Linked DNA regions of Daphnia pulex. The protein of the gene in region 1 purifies or fractionates together with the protein of each later gene. This does not show direct contact. Links are inferred from orthologs where the notes say so. Each region holds a gene or a part of one and is shown in the gene's direction. Other genes may lie near its edges.

Region 1 (2,849 bases):
TTCTACTTCATTTCTCCATATGGACATGGGTATGATAGATTCCACTCGTGATTCAACTAGATTTCACAGAATGTATTGGCTAATCTTTTCCTAAATAGGCTTAAACCCCTTGATACGCAATTTATGAAAATGCTGCATCACAAAGTCAACATCGTGCCTGTAATCGCTAAAGCAGATATGCTAACAAAGAAAGAAATTGCTCGGTTGAAGAAAAGGGTAAAATTGTGACCAACATTTAGATTTATTATAAACTTGTTTAACTAAAAAATTATTAGGTCATGGAAGAAATTGAGGCAAACGGAATTCGTATTTACCCACTTCCCGATTGCGATTCGGATGAAGACGAAGACTACAAAGAGCAAGTTCGTCAGCTTAAAGACGCAGTGTATGTAATAATTCATTCAGACTAATAACAATTATAATTCATTCATAATAATAATAATAATATAATTCATTTATTCAGACCTTTTGCTGTATGTGGGGCCAATACGTTGATTGAAGTTAAGGGCCGAAAGGTCCGCGGACGGCAGTATCCATGGGGTGTCGTTGAAGTTGAAAATCCTGAACACTGCGATTTCATTAAACTCCGAACGATGCTGATGTAACTTGTTTGACTCGTCAAAGATCGAAAATCTTGCATTGCACTAACGTTTAATTCTTTCATTATTTAGTCAACAGCTACAAGATTTACAGGAAGTAACACAAGATGTTCACTATGAGAACTACCGATCAGAACGTCTTGCTAAAGGTGTAGCTTCGAATCGAAAAACCGCTGGGCCAACTAATTCCACCGCGCCATCGGCTGCTCCGGAGCAGATTAGTGAGAAAGAAAAAATACTTCAGGTTAGTAACTATTGTGTTATTAATAGACAATGGAAATAGTGTTTCGACCGTTTGCATCATTGTTTTGTTCTCACAGGAAAAAGAGGCGGAGCTACGACGTATGCAACAGATGTTGGCTCAAATGCAAGCACAAATGCAACAACAACAACCTCAATAGCACTGTGCGTCGTCTTTAACAGCAATTTTCAGTTGTCACTTAAACCAAAAGGAATTCTTCTCTACTGTTTTGACTGTTTATTCAGCTTTGATTGCTGTTTCAACACCCTTGGCACTCTTACCTTCCAATGTGAAGATCTTAGGTTTCCTCGATAAAATCCCATTCAAGTGCCAACATTTAACAAATTCGCTGTGCTTCATTATTTGGTCACTTCACTAGTAATTTTCCTCATTTGCGTACATTCGAATTTTTCTTCCATGTAGGGCAATTAAAGCCCAGATGCGCCTCGAATATCCTACCCAATCATTTTCTTTTTAGTGTCTCGGACTCTCGGTACTGGTCGCAGTATTTCAATATACAATTTTTTCAGACTCTTGCTTCCTTTTTCCCATTAAAAGATTTAATTTTTCTTAGTTTTCTTGAAGTGAAACCAAACCTTTATGAATGGAAGTCTTGTAAATTTTTATATAATGCGCCAACAAACTCCTTTCCCGCTCAATTTAAGACGCCACCTACCGACGCCAATCAAAAGCTGGAAGTGCTGAAAGAAGATGCCAAAAATCCAAAATGGTGATCAGACGATCAGTTACTTACTTACTTTTTACCAATGGGGCAAGATGGTAAACGTAACTAAAGGAATTCTGGTAATAATTTACGGTAAAACTTATAAATGCCACTTGATTTATTATATCTTTGTATTTGAAGTATGGTATTTTAACTTACTTCAATCACTAGTGAAATTGACTGTGCTGGTAAAAGTTTCTTGTCAGAAAGAAAGCACAAAATATTCGATCGGACTATCCCGTGGAAATAGTCATAGATTTAGAAATTAATAAGTATCTCAGGTGGCAACTTATAATGGTTTACCTTTTCTTTACATGGTGCTTAATTGTTAAATTTATACTTGAATTTGTATTATTACCCAAAGGTTGAATGTGATGCTGCTATGAAACAATTGCTTCTTCATTTAGACGAGACACATGCTCTAGGCAACAAATTCATAGTTCAAGATTTGGATGAAACTCACGTTTTCATTGTAAAATTTAAAAAATACTTCTATTTTCTCATATTTTGTATTTTTATCTTTTTGACATTTTCTCTGTTAGGCACCTGAATATCTGGAAGTTTTGCAGTCTAGAATTGATGATTTGATGGACAGGATCAGTTTTCCTTTGGCAGAAAGAGAAATCGAGTAAATTATCTATCATCATGAATTCATCTCAGAGAGAGTCAGCCCGTCAGAAGGATGCCAATTCCAGAAGGGTTTTGGATGAGGCAGCTCGTAGGAGAAGAGCAAGGAAAGCATTGGAAGCACTTGAGCAAGATAATTTTCATGATGACCCTCATGCCAATTTAGGTATTTTTGTAAGTTGGCTAGTTTTCAGATCTTTCATTAATTCTGGATATTTATGCAGTACTAAGCAAAAAGATCCCCAAGTTTGAAGAGTCTCTTGATGGTAAACAAACAAGAAGAAGGAAATCTAAAAATTTCGAAATTTTCAAACAACGGTATTTTGTTTAATATTAATTGCTGAAACGAAGTGTAATTCTATTGAAGTAATTTCTCCTCTTTTACAGGTTTCGAAAATCCTTTGCACAGCTGTTGGAGGAAGAACAGGTTAATCGCCCAGAGCCCCCAAATTATGTTTCAGCTCAAGTTCCACCATCTAAGTTTCCCGAACGTCATTTTTGTGCTGTTTGTGGATTTACTTGTAGTTACACCTGTTTATCTTGTGGCGCAAGGTACTGTAGCGTCAAATGCTTAGGTACTCATCAAGACACGCGTTGCTTGAAGTGGACCGCCTAATAATATTCCATTGCTTTCTTACTTGTCATCTCATCAATAAAC
Region 2 (3,595 bases), on another chromosome or scaffold:
TGGGATTAAGTTTTTTTCTTTTAATTATAATCAAGATACCTGTGCGTTTTCCATATTGTAAACGACAAAGAAGGCCGGTTGCGTATTTGGGTCTGGAGCTCGTAGTGTAACCACATCTTCACTAGCATATTTCAGAAGCAAATGTGACTCATCCAACAACTGCATTTTCCAGATTCGGAGTGCGCGAATGTGATCAAAGTTCTGATAGAACTTTCGTACGTGAAAGAGATTCCCTTCGGCTTCAGCCATGTTGATTGCTCGTCGGTAGAGAAACACTAGTAAACGATGCTTGAGCGCGTTGACAGTTGCCTCTCGAAACGGACGAACCAACTGACCCGAAGGCCAAAGTCCCCGTACTTGATTGATTAACCATTCGTCATCGTCGAAACAAAATCGACCTATAGTTTTTACATCAGCAAAATAGCCATCGTGTGAAATTTTAAAAATGTGTATCGTTTGATGCTGGACAGAGAGAACTGCTAGAGTGTCTTCATACAAGTAAAGTCCTTGGTTGTGTGAGAGAAAGATTTTGTCGGTCTTCATTGTTCTAGTATCACAGAGCCTTCCATTGACGATGTCAACGATGTGAAGTGAGCAATCTTCTAGTGGAGAACGAGGATGAGGAGATACGGATTCATTATTACGGAAAATATCAAAAAAATTTGGCTGGGGCTCTTCGGGAACGTACGAGGCTGAACCGACAATAACAAATCTTCCGTCACCGACAAAGAGACTGCATTCGCGATTTAGTTGTTCACCAACAGGAGTTACAGCAATAGTATGCTTTAACTGGAAGAATTTAGAAAATACTTTACTTCTTAAATTTACAGCTTCATTGGTATCATTTCCAACAAACTCTCTCGTTCCTGGAACATCTGTAAGTAAATCTTCTACTGCACTTGGTCCAAGATATTTGTAAACTTCCACTGAAGTTTGATCTGAAGAGAATGCAATAAAGTACTTGCCGTTGGGTGTAAATTTTCTCAAATAGCATGGTGGCTTTTCTATGTTGACAATTGTAAAATTTGGGACAACACTTTGATAAAATGATCGGCAAATGTGATAGTTTCCGGGTTTGACATGAGTCTCTCGACGAATCAGTCGAATTACAACATTCTGCGAGGGAATTTTTCTAGGAGTCAACTCGAACTCACCATGGTCAGCCTGTCTATATTTGGGGTTCATCATTTTCAGAACCTTTTTTATTACTCGGCATTTTTACTACGTATCTGCAATTCCCATTTTATTCGCCGTGAATTTTAGAAGTTTCAGATTTTTAGTGATAAAGCACATGTGAAATAGAACTGAAGCAGGTTTGAGATGTCAAAATCCGAAACATTTTGTAGAACAGATCGATCTAGCGGTGGTAATAGAAAGATAAACAATAGTTTTTCACGCCACCTGTTGACGAGTGAAATTCCATTTTAAAATAATCGTTCTTGACGGGTGATTAAAAGTTGAAAGAAACTTTGAGTGTATGAATGAAAAATGCACGTGAGTGGAGAAAGAGAACCTAGACTTCAGCGATATGAAAAGATTGAATTTTTGGGAGAAGGACAGGTAAGGTTTTGATTGGCACTGTCTTTTGTGTATGTTCAACTGTTTTATTTTGTAATTTAGTTTGCGACAGTCTACAAGGCGAAAGATACTCTAAACGATAACAAAATAGTTGCCGTTAAAAAGGTTTAAAAAATGTGTTTTCATTTCAGCGTTTCCGGTTCGTTTATAAAATACTAACACTATTTCTGTTCAAGATTAAACTGGGTTCACGAGAAGAGGCTAGAGATGGAATCAATCGAACAGCTTTGAGAGAAATCAAGTTACTCCAAGAACTCAAGCATGACCATATAATTGGTTTACTTGATGTCTTTGGTCACCGTTCTAATGTATCTCTGGTGTTTGACTTTATGGATACTGATTTGGAGCAAATAATCAAGGACACAACCATCATTCTCACTCCAGCACACATTAAAGCTTACATTCTTATGACACTTCAAGGACTTGAATATCTCCATCTTCTATTTATTCTTCACAGAGTAATAATAATAATATATATTTTTCCCCTGTACATTATGACAGAAGTATGCACATTCTTTTTTTTTCAACTACCATTTTAGGATCTGAAACCTAACAATCTTCTTGTTGATCGTCAAGGAATACTGAAACTTGGTGATTTTGGTTTGGCAAAATCGTTTGCATCACCCACTCGTATCTACACTCACCAGGTTGTGACGAGGTGGTATAGGTAATTTGAAGAAATGCAACATAAATATTCAGCTGAAATTAAAATTGATCACACCTGAAACTAGGTGTCCAGAACTGTTGTTTGGTGCTCGAATGTACGGTACCGGTGTTGATGTATGGGCAGTAGGTTGCATAATGGCTGAACTTTTGCTTCGACTCCCCTTTTTACCTGGAGAATCTGACTTAGATCAACTTACACGTATTTTTACAACTTTGGGCACTCCAAACGAAGAGAATTGGCCAGTAAGTACATAAAACAATTTTGAACTCAACCGTCTCCCACCTTTAAACTCTAGTCATATTTCCTTGATTAGGGACTGCTTTCGCTACCAGATTTTGTTCAGTTTAAGGCTTTCCCCGTGATTCCAATGCGGCATATTTTCACCGCCGCCGGAGATGATTTGCTGCAGCTTTTGAGTCGTTTTTTGGCATTGCATCCTTTAGACAGGTGTACTTGTAGCGAAGCTTTGCAAATGCCGTATTTCAGGTATGTATTTTGATTAATTTTTAGATATAAAATTCTAAGTTTCTTCCTTAACAGCAATAAACCAGCTCCAGCTCCAGGATCATCTCTACCTCTACCTGCATCTCTAAGTCAAGCAGCAGTCGACAAAAGCGGAACAAAACGTAAAGTGACGGACAACGGGGAGGGAGGTTCATTAGCGAAACGTTTAGTTTTCTAATAAGTGGTTGAACCAATACATGTGTTTCTAATATAACCTCTAGGTTTATTTCCACCACTCTTGTTGATACAACTTTACAATTTCAGAAGCTTATGACACATTTGCTTATTTTCTGTACCACATCTGAATAGTCTTCATCCGTTTTACTTTTTTCTGTAACTGAAGGATGCCGTACATCAGCGCTTCGGCAGTAGGAGGGCAGCCAGGGACGTAGATGTCAACTGGGATAATCCTGTCGCAACCACGCACAACAGAATACGAATAATGGTAGTAGCCACCACCATTAGCGCAGCTTCCCATAGAAATTACCTGGAGATAAATAAATAAATTCATGATGCCTAATATCTGTGAGAAAGTGTTCCGGTTACCCAACGAGGTTCGGGCATCTGATCGTAAACTTTACGTAAAGCAGGAGCCATTTTGTTGGTAAGTGTACCAGCTACAATTATGACATCAGCCTGACGCGGAGAAGCACGAAATACCACACCATACCGATCCATGTCATATCGCGGAGCTGCAATGTGCATCATTTCTACAGCACAGCAGGCAAGCCCAAAGGTCAGAGGCCATAAAGATCCCTGAGAGCGAAAGTTGAATATTAAAATTTTTCCAGCTAATCCTTAATGATTAACTTCACATAATCTTTAATTTTTACCTTTCTTCCCCAA

Evidence for each region. Proteins that work in one complex are often made in the same cells at the same time.
Region 2: the proteins of general transcription factor IIH subunit 5-like (region 1) and cyclin-dependent kinase 7-like purify together in Homo sapiens (affinity purification with mass spectrometry; 7 studies listed by BioGRID and IntAct, with this or other methods). This does not show direct contact. The link is inferred for Daphnia pulex from reciprocal best matches to the Homo sapiens genes GTF2H5 and CDK7.

Annotation. Positions count from the first base shown.
Region 1 is NC_060021.1:7,407,709-7,410,557, forward strand, and holds general transcription factor IIH subunit 5-like, read left to right. Parts: upstream 1-1,542; 5' UTR 1,543-1,551; coding exon 1,552-1,644; intron 1,645-1,928; coding exon 1,929-2,036; intron 2,037-2,106; coding exon 2,107-2,196; 3' UTR 2,197-2,224; downstream 2,225-2,849. Other genes in the region: septin-1-like, read left to right, coding at 1-29, 99-216, 276-385, 464-601, 672-843, 2,225-2,357, 2,416-2,509, 2,579-2,807. UniProt on the Homo sapiens protein: Component of the general transcription and DNA repair factor IIH (TFIIH) core complex, which is involved in general and transcription-coupled nucleotide excision repair (NER) of damaged DNA and, when complexed to CAK, in RNA transcription by RNA polymerase II.
Region 2 is NC_060020.1:946,414-950,008, forward strand, and holds cyclin-dependent kinase 7-like, read left to right. Parts: upstream 1-1,414; 5' UTR 1,415-1,488; coding exon 1,489-1,560; intron 1,561-1,620; coding exon 1,621-1,683; intron 1,684-1,754; coding exon 1,755-2,036; intron 2,037-2,117; coding exon 2,118-2,245; intron 2,246-2,309; coding exon 2,310-2,487; intron 2,488-2,558; coding exon 2,559-2,731; intron 2,732-2,785; coding exon 2,786-2,927; 3' UTR 2,928-2,963; downstream 2,964-3,595. Other genes in the region: DET1 homolog, read right to left, coding at 40-1,188; NADH-quinone oxidoreductase subunit B 2-like, read right to left, coding at 3,033-3,236, 3,296-3,505, 3,583-3,595. UniProt on the Homo sapiens protein: Serine/threonine kinase involved in cell cycle control and in RNA polymerase II-mediated RNA transcription. Cyclin-dependent kinases (CDKs) are activated by the binding to a cyclin and mediate the progression through the cell cycle.